4 linked regions of the Macaca fascicularis genome follow. The protein of the gene in region 3 purifies or fractionates together with the protein of the main gene of each other region. This does not show direct contact. Links are inferred from orthologs where the notes say so. Each region holds a gene or a part of one and is shown on either strand. Other genes may lie near its edges. The genes, in order: LAMTOR3, LAMTOR4, SLC38A9 and LAMTOR1.

What was found.
Region 1: the proteins of SLC38A9 (region 3) and LAMTOR3 purify together in Homo sapiens (affinity purification with mass spectrometry; 3 studies listed by BioGRID and IntAct, with this or other methods). This does not show direct contact. The link is inferred for Macaca fascicularis from reciprocal best matches to the Homo sapiens genes SLC38A9 and LAMTOR3.
Region 2: the proteins of SLC38A9 (region 3) and LAMTOR4 purify together in Homo sapiens (affinity purification with mass spectrometry; 4 studies listed by BioGRID and IntAct, with this or other methods). This does not show direct contact. The link is inferred for Macaca fascicularis from reciprocal best matches to the Homo sapiens genes SLC38A9 and LAMTOR4.
Region 4: the proteins of SLC38A9 (region 3) and LAMTOR1 purify together in Homo sapiens (co-immunoprecipitation; 5 studies listed by BioGRID and IntAct, with this or other methods). This does not show direct contact. The link is inferred for Macaca fascicularis from reciprocal best matches to the Homo sapiens genes SLC38A9 and LAMTOR1.

Annotation. Positions count from the first base shown.
Region 1 is NC_088379.1:105,526,527-105,530,087, reverse strand, and holds part of LAMTOR3 (ragulator complex protein LAMTOR3), read left to right. Parts: intron 1-826; coding exon 827-885; intron 886-2,496; coding exon 2,497-2,630; intron 2,631-3,561. UniProt on the Homo sapiens protein: As part of the Ragulator complex it is involved in amino acid sensing and activation of mTORC1, a signaling complex promoting cell growth in response to growth factors, energy levels, and amino acids.
Region 2 is NC_088377.1:48,815,631-48,819,886, reverse strand, and holds the start of LAMTOR4 (ragulator complex protein LAMTOR4), read right to left. Parts: upstream 2,846-4,256; 5' UTR 2,772-2,845; coding exon 2,769-2,771; intron 2,249-2,768; coding exon 2,168-2,248; intron 1-2,167. UniProt on the Homo sapiens protein: As part of the Ragulator complex it is involved in amino acid sensing and activation of mTORC1, a signaling complex promoting cell growth in response to growth factors, energy levels, and amino acids.
Region 3 is NC_088380.1:61,147,976-61,152,085, reverse strand, and holds the start of SLC38A9 (neutral amino acid transporter 9), read left to right. Parts: upstream 1-1,310; 5' UTR 1,311-1,391; intron 1,392-2,110; 5' UTR 2,111-2,158; intron 2,159-4,110.
Region 4 is NC_088388.1:70,863,817-70,868,082, reverse strand, and holds the start of LAMTOR1 (ragulator complex protein LAMTOR1), read left to right. Parts: upstream 1-1,408; 5' UTR 1,409-1,537; coding exon 1,538-1,579; intron 1,580-4,266. UniProt on the Homo sapiens protein: Key component of the Ragulator complex, a multiprotein complex involved in amino acid sensing and activation of mTORC1, a signaling complex promoting cell growth in response to growth factors, energy levels, and amino acids.

The sequences.
Region 1 (3,561 bases), on a different chromosome or scaffold from region 3:
AACTTTTTTTTTTTTTTTTTTTTTTTGAGACAGAGTCTTGCTTTGTTGCCCAGGCTGGAGTGCAGTGGCACGATCTCAGCTCACTGCAAGCTCCGCCTCCCGGGTTCATGCCATTCTCCTGCCTCAGCCTCCTGAGTAGCTGGGACTACAGGTGCCCACCACCACGCCCGGCTAATTTTTTTTTTTTTTTTGTATTTTCAGTAGATGAGGTTTCACCGTGTTAGCCAGGATGGTCTCGATCTCCTGACCTCGTGATCTGCCCGCCTCAGCCTCCCAAAGTGTTGGGATTACAGGCGTGAGCCACCATGCCTGGCCCCTATGAACTTTTTAACAATACTTGCCCCCAATTTTAGTTTTACGTTTGTTCTTGTGAGATTATTGATAACACACTCACTTTTTAGATCGGAAGCCACGTGAAGGCAATGATTGTGCTTATTTCTGTTTTTCATAGTATCAAAGTATTAAGTGCCACAAACACCGGCCATTTAATATTTGCATGAATGAAAAAAGAAGAAGGCTCTTTTTTGTCACTGCAGCCATTGCTGATAATCTTTCATGCTTTTGTAAACCATGGACTGATCATTCATTAGCAGTTTTAATGGAGAGTTAGCTTTGTCTTAGATTCTTATTAATAAACCGCATGAATTTATAAATATTATAAACATTTCTATAATAGACATTGATTCCATTTCTGGGAGAATTTTGGGGTCCTGTGGTTTTTCAGAAAATACATGAGAATTATTATGTCTTTGAGGTGTATAGTTTGAGAAAATGAAATATTTTATATTTTAACTTTTTTTATATTTTAACTATTTTCTTTTTCTAGTGTTGAAGGGCTCCATGCCATTGTTGTATCAGATAGAGATGGAGTACCTGTTATTAAAGGTAAAAGTGAACATTTAAATGCAAATATCTTCTTTGCTTTTGACTAAAAATGCGTGTAATTTACATCTGAGTAGTACAGCAGGCAAACATCTAAAATTCATTTTAGTAAATTTTAGGAGATGGTGGTCTTAGTATTGGCGGAAGTGTTTGCTTTTGTATGCTGAAGGTTGAATTTGAATCTACAGTGTATTATATATCAGGTGTATCATGTTAACATCTAGAGTTTAAGCATGGATTTATCACAGACCCATTTCCCGTTGAAGACATTTACAGTGCAATGTAAACCATTAGTAAATCTAAGTGATGAGAGTGAGCATGTAGGCAGCTAGATAAACACACAGACACCCCTACATTACACACACACACACACACACACACACACTTTATCAAATTGCTAGTTGTTTTAGGATAATACCCATGTATTTGAATCATAAGTAAACATGATGTCACAGAGAGTCAGTATGGATTCAGACAATTTTTTACTATTTTTATTTTATGGTATTATGAGCATGGATGTTCCTAGTTTTTTTGGGACACTGTAATGGCTTTATCAAACATTAAAGATTGGATAATGTTCTGTATATTTCGTGTACAATTTTCCACCTGGAGTTGTCATATATGTCAGATAATTTTAGACTTTAGAAATGAACGGAGGTTTAGAAGTCAAGTGATTTAGTTCTTTCATTTTATAAGTGAAGGTAATAAAGTGCAAAGACACTTGGACTTCATTAGCAGTTTCAGTGGAGAGTTAGCTGTGTCTTAGATTCTTATTAATAAACTGCATGAATTTGTAAAGATTATAAACATTTCTATAATAGACATTGATTCCATTTCTGGGAGAATTTTGACAAACACATTATAAGAACATGGAATATCAACAAAGGAGGTCCTGTGGTTTATAATCTTCAAACATTGCAGTCCAAAGTCGGGCGTGAGTCAGTAACAGAACCCATCATCTCCTGATGTGTGGTCCAGTGTGCTTTCTAACTCACTATAAAATGGTCGTTGAATGGTTGTGGACAGATTACTTGCTTTCTCTTAATTCTGTAATGAGGGATTTGAACAAAATAATCTCAGATTTTCCAGTTCTAATGTTCTTCATGAGGATATCTGTGTTAAAGCCTTGAGCCCTGCACTCATTAATACAACAAACTCCATGCAGACCTTTTAATGAGTGAGAGAAACACGAAACAGGTAACTAGCTGCAGATTGCTAATATCTATGAGAGATATTCCTTGCTGTGGGTTTTATAAGAGCAGAAGTTTTGTAACTTTTTTCATTAGTTTATTCTAACCTAGTCCTCAGATAACCAGTTAAATGTGCTTGATTAATCTATGTTTTAAGTTAGATATCAAGAAAAGGTAAACATTTAATTTTCTTTTTAAAATTTAAAAAAATTGTGAGAGTCAGCATTTCTTCTATTGTGATCAGTGAACTTTTGACTGAGCAATTTTTCCTGATTAGTGATGAGACCCCATTAGTGATATGATTTTCAATATTGTGAAACATAACCTTTGTGCTCAGTTTTAAACAGAGGTTTATGAAAAAGGGCTGTAAATCTCTCTATCATATCCTCTGCATAATTTTTATTTAAATCACTTATTTTTCTAGTGGCCAATGACAATGCTCCGGAGCATGCTTTGCGACCTGGTTTCTTATCCACTTTTGCCCTGGCAACAGACCAAGGGAGCAAACTTGGACTTTCAAAAAATAAAAGTATCATCTGTTACTATAACACCTACCAGGTAAGTTCATAATTATCAAATGATTTGCTGATTTCAGTTGTCATTTTTGTACCTTTTATATATAAAATAGTTTGTGTTATAGTTCTCAATTTCAGTTTTGAAGGGGATGAAATTGTAAAATTTTAGCCTTCAAATTGGTTGTGTTAAACGGTAGTAATTTTCTTCACATTTTATACCAGGAAATAATTACGATGGAAAAGTAATTAAGTGACTTAATAAAGTACATGTTATCCTAAAAAGTGTACGTCAGGTCACTGTTATCTCCAGTAGATGGTGCCCTTAGCTAAACAACTGTGATTTCTCAGATGACACACTTTTTTTGTTGTAGTAACAGATAAAAAAAACTTTCCTTGAAAGTTTATTAAATTTGCTCTTGCTACTAATTCCTTCATTTTTTGGAAACATATATATGTAATAAATGAGGTTATTATTTGTGGGAAAGAAGTTAGTTTTTACATGTCTCTTGATCTCAAGCTATATTTTCTTAAGACTGAATTAATTCCTTGTGCTTTAGAGCTATGTTTCCTAATCAATTGATGTTAAGTTACTCTTTTTTTTTTTTTTTTTCTTCCGAGACAGAGTCTGCCTGTGTCGCCCCATGCTGGAGTGCAGTGACATGATCTCATCTCACTGCAACTTCCGCCTCTCAGGTTCAAGAGATTCTCAAGCCTCAGCCTCCCAAGTAGCTGGGATTATAGGCATGTGCTACCAGGCCTGGCCAATTTTTGTATTTTTAGTAGAGATGGGCTATCACCATGTTGGCCAGGCTGGTCTTGAACTCCTGGCCTCAAGTGATCCCATCCACTTCAGCCTCCCAAAGTGCTAGGATTACAGACGTGAGCCACCATGCCAGGCCCATCTTTTATTTTAAAAGTTACATATTTTAATGTGTATTAGGTAAAACATAACCAAACCATCTGACCTTTAATTT
Region 2 (4,256 bases), on a different chromosome or scaffold from region 3:
CTGGGATTACAGGCTTGAGCCACCGCGCGCGGCCTTAAGGAACATGTTTCTTAAGGCATCATCACTCTTCCAGGCTTTAGAGTTCTAGCTAGAGAAGTATTTCTTTTATTACCTATTTCTAGTCATTAGCAAGATATACTGATTCCTCCTTTAAAATATCTTCTCCCAGCCAAGCACAGTAGCTCATACCTATAATCCCAGCACTTTGGGAGGCCAAGGCAGGAGGACTGATGGAGGCCAGGACTTCGAGACCAACCTGGGCAACATAGCAAGACCCCTGTCCCTATAAATTTTTTTTTTTTTAATGGCTGGGCGTGGTGGTGCTTGCCTATAGTTCTAGTTACTTGGGATGCTGAGGTGGGAGGATCGCTTGGGCCCAGGAGTTCAAGACTGCAATGAGATGTGATCACACTACTGCACTTCAGCCTGAGTGACAGCAAGACTCTGTCCTAAAAAAAAAAAAAAAAAAAGGGCCGGGCGCGGTGGCTCATGCCTGTAATCCCAGCACTTTGGGAGGCTGAGGTGGGCAGATCACAAGGTCAGGAGTTCGAGACCAGCCTGGCCAACATGGCAAAACCCCATCTCTACTAAAAATACAAAAATTAGCCGGGTGTGGTGGCATACGCCTGTAATCCTAGCTACTCAGGAGGCTTAGGCGGGAGAATCGCTTGAACCTGGGAGGCGGAGGTTGCCCTGAGCTGAGATCATGCCACTGCACTCCAGCCTGGGCCACAGAGCGAGACTCTGTCTCAAAAAACAACAAAAACAAAAACAAAACTCTTCTCTCCTTGCTCCTTCTTACTGCCACTTGCCCAGTCTCATCTCTTTTTTTTTTTTTTTTTTTTTGAGACGGAGTCTTGCTCTGTCACCCAGGCTGGAGTGCAGTGGTGCAATCTTGGCTAACTGCAACCTCCGCCTTTCTGGTTCACGCCATTCTCCCGCCTCAGCCTCCCGAGTAGCTGGCGCCCACCACCACGCCTGGCCAATTTTGTTTTTGTATTTTTAACAGAGACAGGGTTTCACCGTGTTGGCCAGGATGGTCTAGCTCTCCTGACCTCGTGATCCACTCGCCTTGGCCTCCCAAAATGCTGGGATTACTAAAGACCTGAGCCACCTATGCCTGGCCCAGTCTAATCTCTTAATGATGCCTCCTTCTGCCCATCTTCACATCACTAACAACAATATTGCTCAACCACCTCACTGGGTCTTGTTTCTGTTTAAAAAACCTTTCAAGCTGTATTACCTCCAAGAAGAATAAGTTCAAGTGTGTTAACCTGGCCTTGAAGATCCTTCACAATCAGATCCTCCCTGACCATATCTTCCTCTTCCCTCAAATCTTCCCAAATCTTTTCAGCACAGACTTACCATCAGTTTAGAAAGGTCAGTGCCACACACCTGCAAATATGTCCACCTCCCCACTGTAAATACTCTCCTTTAAGCTGGGCTGAATTCCTACCTCCAGGGAAGTTAGTTACCTTGTCATAACATGTTGAATTTTTAATATCCTGGATTCCTTCAATAGTCTTTTACCACCTGTATTGTTTTCAACACTTAACCTTAAGCTTTGTCTCTAGCTAAATCAAAAACATCTAGAGACCTAACACTATACAGTACTATGGAACAAAATACAAATGACTCTTTAAGAAATATCAAATAAAGGCCAGGGATGTTGGCTCACGCCTGTAATCCCAGCACTTTGGGAGGCTGAGGCAGGTGGATCACCTGAGGTCAGGAGTTTGAGACCAGCCTGGCTAACACGGTGAAACCCCGTTTCTACTAAAAATACAAAAAATTAGCCGAGCGTGGTGGCACATGCCTGTAATCCCAGCTACTCTGGAGGCTGAGGCAGGACAATCGCTTGAACCCCGGAGGCGGAGGTTGCAGTGAGCGGAGATCGCACCACTGCACTCCAGCTTGGGCAACAAGAATGAAACTCAGTTTCAAAAAGTGTAAATAAATAAATAAATAAATAAACCGCAACCGTTAGGAGACTAAGATTCCACAGACTGATTACTGAAAGTAATTGCAAAAACTGCAAATACTTTTGTACCAACCTAATAGATGCCAGACCGCAAACCAGGTAAAAGTCGAGAAAAGAAGGGCCAATATTAGAAGGGGTTACCGGGCTGTGTGCACTAAGGGACCCCCTCCCTTTTCCAGAACGCACCGCCAGCACTGCACCTTCACTCAGTACCAGGTAGCCGAGCTGGTCTGGGATTCGCTCCAGCCCCTGGGTCAGTGCAGAAGTCTAGTGGGTAAAGATGCAAGTAGTGAGAAGCATGCTAGAGGGATGGATGGCCCCTGATACCCTTCACCTACAAACCCAAGTCTCTTGATTGGCGATGGCCCCAGGTTTTCTCATTCCCCAGCCAGGTCCTTTCCCGGCTCCCTTCCCCCTACATGGTCCTCAATACTGATCTTCCCGAGCCTCCATCTGCCCCCACTCTCGGCCCCCGGGCTCCCCTGGCCTTCCACGCTCCACCTATGCTACTCCGAGGGGACTTCGCTGCCCCACTGGCCCCTGCCCCCAGACCCTCTCTCCACCTCCCCGCCCCTGACCTGCAGACTACCCGCAGCCCCAGAACACCCTCCCACAGACCCCTCCCCAGCATTCCCGTCGCCATCCCTCCCATCTCCATCCCGTCTTCCTCCCCGAGCGGATAGGAGGTGAGGGTGGAGCGCAGACCCACGAGGGGGAAACCACACAGATTGGGGAGCAGAGACGCGGAACCCCCGGCGGGTCCTCCCGCGCATGCGTCCTCACTCACCATCGCAGTCTTCGGTGCTGGTGGAGCTCCCTACCAGATAGGTAGCTTCCGGCTTCAGGCCCCGGTCACGTGCTCGCACCCGGCGCGCTCCTCCTTCTGCTTGCTTCCCTACCCTTTAGCCGCGCCTCTAGCATGAGGATTGGATCGTGGCCACGTCGTCAGACCCAACCAGCCAGTGCGAAGCGCTCCTTCCCGGAGGCGCACGTTGATTGGTGATATCCCCTCTTTAACACCCATCTCTCCGCCTCTCAGTCAGTGCCTGAGCGAGAGGAGGCGGGAGTGCTTCCGCGGAGGGGACGGTGTGGGAGGGCCAGGAGTGGGACAGGGTTGACCGTGTGGCTCCGCGCGCGCTTTCTAGAGTCTGGGTTCCGCCTGAACCAGGATGCCCGCCAGTGTGACCTCCCAAACGAATGCCTTCCCAGGTTTAAGACTGGACCCAAAAAACGTGATAATAAAAGGAAATAACGTGCAATGCATGTAAAAAGCTATTCAAGGCTGGGCGCCCAACCTTCAAATGCTACTTTTATGCCTACTCAAGACCGCTCTTTGTTGAAGACAAGAATTTGTTCCCTTGGCCGGGCGCGGTGGCTCACAACTGTAATCCCAGAACTTTGGGAGGCCGAGGCGGGCGGATCACGAGGTCAGAAGATGGAAACCATCCTGGCTAACACAGTGAAACCCTGTCCCTACTAAAAAATACAAAAAATTAGCTAGGCGTGGTGGCGGGCGCCTGTAGTTCCAGCTATTCGGGAGGCTGAGGCAGGAGAATGGCGCGAACCTGGGAGGTGGAGCTTGCAGTGAGTCGAGATGACGCCACTGCACTCCAGCCTGGGAGACAGCGAGACTACATCTCAAAAAAAAAAAAAAAAAAAAAAAAAAAGATTTTGTTCCCAAAGTGGTTTTTTGTCTTCAGATTCAGTCTGGGACAATGTGATGGTGAATAGAATCACCAGCTAGCCAATGCAGATACAATACTGAATATTCTCTGCAGGAAAAAATTAGAAACAGTACCTTGGAATGATACACACACACACACATACATACATACATACATACATACATCACACAATGTAAACATTGGAAATTTTTGTTTTAAATAATTTCTAGACCTGTTGCCGTATTAATGTGGTGGAGGCAGTGTTAGTGAGTAATATGAAGAGTGATTCTAGAAGCCTGGGCAACATAGCAAGACCCCATCTCTAAAAATTTAAAAATTAACCAGGCATGATACCGCACATGTAGTCCCAGCTACCGGGGAGGCTGAGGTGGGAGAATTGCTTGAGCCCAGGAGTTTGAAGCTGCAGTGAGCCATGATCATGCTACTGCACTCCAGACTGGGTAAAAGAGCAAGATTGTCTCAAAAACAAACCAAAAAAATCTGAATATAGTAACAATTGTTGAAGTCTGGGTGTCTTTTAAGACTTGTTAGAAACAACAATCAAGGCTGGGCATGGTAGCTCACACCTGTAATCCCAGCAGTTTGGGAGA
Region 3 (4,110 bases):
CCTCCCAAGTAAGCTTGACTACAGGCAGGTGCCACCCTCCCTAGTTAATTTTTTGAATTCTTTTGTAGAGATGGGGTCTCCCTATGTTGCCCAGACTGGTCTCCAACTCAAGTGGCCTCAAGTGATTCTCCCACCTCAACCTCCCAAAATGCTGGGATTACAGGCATAAGCCACGGAGCCGGCCTAAATTTTGAGTTTTTTTCTGGCATTACAGACACTGTTTTTTTTCTGGTTTAAACAGAAAAAAGAAAAAGAAACAAAAAGAGCTACTGGCTTCCTTTGTAAGAAGAGCTAGGCCGGGCGCGGTGGCTCAAGCCTGTAATCCCAGCACTTTGGGAGGCCGAGACGGGCGAATCACGAGTTCAGGAGATCGAGACCATCCTGGCTAACACGGTGAAACCCCGTCTCTACTAAAATACAAAAAAAAAAAATTAGCCGGGCGAGGTGGCGGGCGCCTGTACTCGCAGCTACTCGGGAGGCTGAGGCAGGAGAATGGCGTGAACCCGGGAGGCGGGGCTTGCAGTGAGCTGAGATCCGGCCACTGCACTCCAGCCTGGGCAACAGAGCCAGACTCCGTCTCAAAAAAAAAAAAAAAAAAAAAAAGAAGAGCTTAGGGTTGCCACATGCTTTTCAGGGACTGACCTTGAACTGATTTTCATAACAAACACATTAATTTTACTTAGACTGTATGTTTACTTGGGGAGGTTTTGGGGAAAATTGCTGGGTATGTGGGGTGGGCCTCTAAAATCCTTGTAAAGCCGCTTTTAGCCTAGAGACTAACTTGCAAACACAGTTTTAAAAAACAAACCCAAATATCTAGACGACGGAGGGAGCATGCCAACTCAACAGTTTTTCAAACCAGCTTCCCTTTGCGTCTGTAGGGTCCAAGGACGTAACTAGATCACACAACACGCGCCTGGAAAGCCCAAAAGAGGGGTGATCCCTCGATGGAGGTGCCGCATCAGCGTTTTCTCACGTGGCCTCCGGGGCTCTATGAATGGCAAGAGATCGCATTCCTTCTACTATCCCTCCCGGCCTCCAGCCGGGACAAGGAACTGGAGCAAACTCCGGACTGCAGTTCCGACCAGACTTGCCTACCTAGGCGGGTCGGCTGCCCAGTCTCCTGAAGCCTTGGGGCTGGGCCCTGCGGTGATGGGCGTGCTGGCCGTCGCAGAGCCCTCTGGGAGTTGTAGTCCGTAGCGGCGAGAGGTTTGACAGCGACCGCCGGCTTGGCGCATTCAGAACTCCAACCCCCGCCGGCCCCCGCGGCCTAGTCTGTTGCCGCTTCCTGTTTGGACTGGGAGTCCCGCGGTCGCAAATTGTGAGAATTTGGGAAGGGAGTCTTCATCTTCTCGTCTAGTTCTCCAAGGTTGAAGGCTCGGCCTGCTCAGGTAGATCACGTTCCCACGTCTAGCATACTCGCCTCTCGGGGAGGTGGGGAGGTATCCGAGGGAAGGCGGCGGGAAGGGTTGAGGTTGGGGCGAAGCCGGCTGTCACCTGGGATAGTTCTTCAATGTAGCGCGTCAGAACCGTAGCTTCTTTTGGGGATCGGGGAGGCCAAAGTCTGGAGCCGCGGAGACTGCTCCGGAGGCACTGCGCGCGCTCCTCAAGGGCTCAGTGAAAGGAAGTCAGGAGTCCCTCGGGGTCTGAGGGAATCCGAGTGTATGTGGGAGTCGGTGTCAGCTGGAGCCTTAGGGAAAAGATAGGGTTAGGGTAAATGAACACCCTGACCCTCGGGTGAGAGAAGGAGGGAGCAGGAGAATTGGGGAGCTTGTAGGAATGGGAGCACCCTTCTTTCTCTCTCTTGAGACAGGGTCTCCCTCCGTCGCTTGGGCTTGAGTGAGGTGGCGCGATCATGGCTAGGAGCACCTTTCTCCATCCCGAGTTGGGGAGATCTAGGGGGGAACATGAGGGAGGAACCCCCTTTAGGCCTTGAGCTAGGACCACAGATGGGGTGAGGGCCATGACTGGTAAGCCCTCGCCACGCTTTTCACACGACTCAGTTGTGAGAATGAGTGTGTCGATAGTGGGTAGCTTGACATGTCAGCATAGTAGAGCTGGAAGAGGGGTTTGAGAGCAGCTAGTCAAGCGCATTCTCCTCATTTTACAGAGAAGGAAACTGAAGTCCACCGAGTTGGAGAAACCCACTCAACACCAGGTAACCATTTAATGGCAAACTTGACTAAAACCTAATTGTTATGACTCCCGGGCAGTGTCTTATCCATTGCCGAGCTCCGTCCCCCTCGTAGATCAGCACACTATAAGTTGTACCTCCACTTTGTTTTCTTTTTTCTTTTCTCCCCTCCCCCCCCCTCCCCCGCCCACACACACAGAGTCTCGCTCTATCGCCCAGGCTGGAGTGCAGTGGAGCGATCTTGGCTCACTGCAAGCTCCGCCTCCCTGGTTCAAGCGATTCTCGTGCCTCAGCCTCCTGAGTAGCTAGGATTACAGCTGCCCGCCACCACGCCCCAATAATTTTTGTATTTTTAGTAGAAATGGGGTTTCACCATGTTGGCCAGCCTGGTCTTGAACTCCTGATCTCAATGATCCTCCCGCCTTGGCCTCCCAAAGTGCTGCGATTACAGGCGTGGGCCACCGCGCCCGGCCCCTTTTTTCTTTTTAATATTTTCAGACATGACAAAGATCTGACATATGTAGGATAGCAGGCAGCTGCTGAGGAGAAAGGTTTTTTAAAAACGTTTTGGCCGGGCGCGGTGGCTCACACCTGTAATCCCAGCACTTTGGGGGGCTGAGGCAGGCACATCACGAGGTCATGAGATCAAGACTGTCCTGGCCAATATGGTAAAACCCAGTCTCTACTAAAAAAAATACCAAAACTAGCCAGGTGTGGTGGCGCATGCCTGTAGTCCCAGCTACTCACGAGGCTAAGGCAGGAGAATCTCTTGAACCTGGGAGGCGGAGGTTGCAGTGAGCCGAGATCGTGCCACACTGCACTCCAGCCTGGTGACAGAGTGAGACTCTGTCTCAAAAAAAAAAAAAAAACAAACAAACAAAAAAAAAATGTTTCAATAGGTCAAAATAACCCATGTCCTAACTTAAGAAAAATCTCTCTGCCTCGTAAACAACTACAAACTTCATGTTAAGATAGAAGGTTGGGCCGATTGTGGTAGCTAACACCTGTAATCCCAACACTTTTGGGAGGCTGAAGTGGACGGATCATTTGAGGTTAGGAGTTCAAGACCAGCCTGGCGAACATGGTTATACCCTGTCTCTACTAAAAATACAAAAATCATCCAGGCGTGGTGGTGTGCCTCTCATCTGTAATCCCAGCTACTTGGGAGGCTGAGGCAGGAGAATCACTTGAGCCTGGCAGGCAGAGGTTGCAGTGAGCCAAGATTGCACCACTGCACTCCAGCCTGAGCCACAGAGCGAGACCCTGTCCAAAAAAAAAAAAAAAAAAGTTGTCATCTATAGTTTCTTTGTTTCTAAGAAAATAAAATTTACCTTTCCTTCCCCTAGACCTCTGAGAACAGCTAGACTTAGATTTCTTTTCTTTTCTTTTCTTTTCTTTTTTTTTTTTTTGAGATGGAGTCTCGCTCTGTTGCCAGGCTGGAGTGCAGTGGCGCGATCTCGGCTCACTGCAACCTCTGCCTCCTGAGTTCAAGCGATTCCTCTGCCTCAGCCTCCCAAGTAGCTGGGACTACAGGCACACGCCACCACACCCGGCTAATTTTTTTTTTTGTATTTTGGTAGAGACGGGGTTTCACCATGTTGGCCAGGATGGTCTCAATCTCCTGACCTCGTGATCCGCCTGACTCGGCCTCCCAAAGTGCTGGGATTACAGGCGTGAGACACGTGGCCAGCCAGTTAGCCTTAGATGTCCAATCACAATCTTAAATACTATATATTTCAGTTACATACATAAAATAATATACTTTTAATTGTGATTTTGTAATACCCTTAATATTTACAATAAAGGGTAACTCAGCATAGGAGGATGGAATACCAACCTGAACTACAAATTAAAATAGTATTGTTTAGTATTTTTTTTTCTTTTTGGGGTTCTTTTTGCTCTGATACTCAAGCTTTAGTGCAGTGGCACTATCATAGCTCACTGTAACCTTGAACTCCTGGGTTCAAGCAATCCGC
Region 4 (4,266 bases), on a different chromosome or scaffold from region 3:
ATCTGGCGACTTCTGCGATCCCTTGGATCAGGAGATGGGGCATGGGGTGAGCCAAGGTGATGGGGTGACTGTAATGTACTCATTGATACGCAAGTTTTTTGTAAGCAAGGCCATGCCTTGGGCCACAGGTAAGAGTCAGAACCTGTCATTGTGCTCTAGGAACTCCCAAGTTTGGTAGGTGAGACTGACCCAGGAACATAGAATATAGTGTGATCACTATTGGATGTTCCACGACTACAGGGACTTTGGCTGTTTTGTGAACTGATGCATATCCAGATATAACAGTGTGTGGCACATAGTAGATGCTCAGCAAATATTTGTTAATAGATGCATGAATTAACACTGGATGAGGATTAAGCATAGAGAGCTGGACATGTCCAGAGAATGGGGTCAGAGAAGGTAATCAGGAGGACATTGTACTGAGTCTCGAAGACAGTAGGCAGACCAGGCTGCATGTGCAAAGTCCAGTAGATCAATCAGGAAACATCATTTCTCTATGTCCAGTGAAACAGATTGCTCACCCCTCCACCCCCTCACCCCTCACCTCAGAACATGCAGTGGCAGAGAGGTGTCAGGCTCTGCGTGACTTTGATATGTCAGATGGGTAATGTGCCAAAACAAGATTTGAGGGTGGGCGCATTTCACACACGCGGAATCACACGCGCATGAACAACAAATGGATCACTATACAATTTTGGACGGACTTGGACCTGTGTTCAGGGCCCAAGGGAAGACATGGGGGAGGAGGGGCGTTTAGGAAAAGAGAACTGATGGTCAGCTTTGTGCGTTAGATTTACTATGGGTCCTGTTAAAAAAAAGGCAGAATTAAAGATAAAAGCCTGAAGGCAGAGAGGTCAGTGAGGTGACTTCTATCTCCTCCACCAGGATTTATCTCCGCTCCGCGTCAGCATGTGAAGGTAGTATAAGGTCCCTTCTTCCTGTAAGTCGCAGATCCCCAGCCCAGGTGCAGAATACACCCTCCGTGTATTCACCCCCAGCCCAGCTGGGCGATACACCCTCTGTTCCCCTACTGGGTACCGGTCATCTGGATCCTCTGTGTGTGCACCCAGGCTGTACGATCTAGGAGCGTCAGGCCTGGATCCCACTCGCCCCTCGCATGGCATTTAGAAGAGTATATCACGAGGGCATACAAGGGCATTTGGTACGAGTTCGCTCAATGGCCCAGAGAAGTGGCCTAGTGGCCACGAGAACGCATAACACTATTCACGACGGCCACTACTGCCAGTTTAGAGACTGGAAAGATGAAGTCATGTGATCCGCCCCTCCCTTTCCTCGCTTCACTTGCCTGCGTGTCCGGTTACGCCTTCCTATTGGTTGACAACGATCACGCGCTAGCGGGCGGGACCGGAAGCCGGGGTATTGCCTGAGGCGGCCCAGCGGCTCCGGGAGAAGGGATACTGGGGGTGGCGGCGGGTGGTTGCCTGCGGGAGGCAGTTGCGGGTCATGTGACCGGAAGGGCTCCTGACGGACGCCGTCCCTCCTCGGCGCGGCCTGAGCGCCCGGCCTGACCCCTGCCATGGGGTGCTGCTACAGCAGCGAGAACGAGGACTCGGACCAGGTGCGGCCGCGGCAGGCGGGGCTCGGGAATGAGGGCTAAGACCCTGGGGCTTGGGGCCCCAGAAAGAAATCTGCGGAGAACGGGCCAGGACTGCAGGGCTCGATGAATACGGAGGCCTGGAGGGGACAGATTACACAGGAGACGCCAAGCCGGACTCCTACCCCAGTTAAAGCCCCAGCTTTCTACGCGGTCCCCGCCTCGGGGTGTACAGGCAGCCGCCTGTCCGGCTCGCTCCCACCACTTCCGTTTGCTCCTACCTTCAAAACTTTCCAGATTCAAGGATCCTCAGTCTAGGTCCCCGGGAAATACTCCCTTCCCAGCTTCCTGTCTTCTCTGTATTAGTGGGCTTTGCGAATCCATTGCAGGGGTGGGTAAGCTGAGGCCCTGAGTTAGGCTGTCCTGCGATGAATCAGGAATTCATGTATCGTCTTAGTCCCTGGGGTTGCAGAAGGAAGGTCGCTGCTAGTTTAGGGCCAGAGGACGATTCTGGAAGTTGGTGGCCTTTGAGTTGGCCAATGAAGGATTTAATGGATACAGTGAGGACATCGGGACATGGGGGAAATTGTCTGGGAAGCAACAAAGAGGGTTTAGCTTTGACTAGATTGTGGTAAAAGAGAAATGGAGCGGGAAGTTCATTTGGGTCTGAGTTTGGCTTGCCTCAGTGCAGTCTGCCTGGGGCCTGAGGGTTCCTTTAGCTGGAGACATGCCTGTTCTGAGAATTTGGCTGTAGATCTGATCCCTCTGACGAAAGGCTTAGGCTGGGGAGACCTGTACAGTTTTAAATTCTCCCTCTTCCTCTTAGTGCATTCTCACTTCTCTCCACATTCTAATCCCTGCCCCGCCTGGCCTGACATTCAAGGATGAAGTCACAAGTTGCTGTCCACTCTTTTTTGATCGTCTCTAACCCTGGATTCTACATTTGAACATATAGTAGACCTGAGAAAGTAGAAAGGTTTCAAGTAGCTCACAGTCTAATAGGGGAGATGGTCACAAAAATAGATTATATCACTGGTACTTGGGAAGTAGTTATTTCTTCAGTGAACGTATTTTGGATTAAGGGCTTAAGCTTAGGAAAATGTCATTTGTGGCCGGGCGCGGTGGCTCAAGCCTGTAATCCCAGCACTTTGGGAGGCCGAGACGGGTGGATCATGAGGTCAGGAGATCGAGACCATCCTGGCTAACACGGTGAAACCCCGTCTCTACTAAAACAGGCAAAAAAAAACTAGCTGGGTGAGGTGGCGGGCGCCTGTAGTCCCAGCTACTCGGGAGGCTGAGGCAGGAGAATGGCGTGGACCCGGGAGGCAGAGCTTGCAGTGAGCTGAGATCCGGCCACTGCACTCCAGCCTGGGAGACAGTGAGACTCCGTCTCAAAAAAAAAAAAAAAAGAAAATGTCATTTTTATGGGAAGCAAGGGTCGCTTCTGGTTCTCAATTCTTCATACACCCAATGAACACATATTTCCTTTGCTCTGTGTTAGGCATGTGTCATGCCTAATACCTCTCACTTCACCTCCACCTTTTTGAGAAAGAGACAACAATAACCCTGCCTACTGGGAGAGCTGTGGCCTAGTGGGAAATTGTCCCTTAAAGCATAATGTGGACTCTTGCAGGGAATGAGTCAAGAAGGATTAATGCCTTATGAGAAAGGATACCAGCTTCTACTTGGAAGGGAGAGCTGGGCCTGCTGCTCTCCTGAATCTCTACCTTCTCCTTGGTGGGCTCTCCTTTCTGTTCCTAACACCCAGAGAAGATGTTTAATCACTGCTGGGTGATTTGAGGCCTCACGTAGCAAGAGCCGTAACCATCCACCTCCCAGAGTCCCTCTTTCAGTTCTTGGGCAGGCTCCTCTCCCACTCTCATCTCTGTCTCTTTATCACAATAAAAAATGTACAACACATTACAGTTTACAAAGGGCCGTGATAGTTATCTAATTTGACTCTTGCCAGACATCTGTCATATTAGTGTGGGTTATGTCTATTTAAAGGTGAGGAAAAAGTTCAGAGAAGCTAAGTGATTTGGCCAAGCTGGGAAGTGCTAATGCCCGGGTGTTCTGATGCCAAGCCATGTACTTTATCCATGGGGCCAAGCAGTCTCATCTATGCCCCTAGACCAGGTGGCCAGTCATGGGCAGGGTGCTATGTCTGTGCTAAGGTAGACAGTGAAACCCTGCCTCTTGGGTTACACTGACGCAGAGACAAACCTTGATGTGACAAACCTAACCCATGCTCCACTCGCACTTCGGGAGTGGGGTGATACTTGTCTACTCTGAAGGGGGTAGCATGGCCTCTTCTTTAAGTCTAGGTTTCAAGAAAACAACCTTGTTCCTCCCTTGATCTTAGCTGAAGGCTGAGAAGTGATCAGCCAGCCTTCTTCTTGAAGAACCCCTGATAGGGAAGAGACTACCCTGTCCTGCAGGAAGATCTGTCTGAAGTGGAGCTGGGAGAAGGACAGACACATAGGAAGCTAACTTGGGCCTCATTATGGAGCCAGCTTTCCTTAGAAATACATAGTTTTATCTTTGGCAAACATTTTGTCTTTTTAGCTCTTTAATGCTGAGCCTGTGTTTTAGGGAGGAAGGGTGTCTGGGAGTTTACAGAGGTGATGGGGCAAAGCCCACAGCTTCTGTCTTTTGCTGCTGGGAACTGGATCAAATTGCCTGAGGACACTTGGGCAACCTAGGCTTGAGAA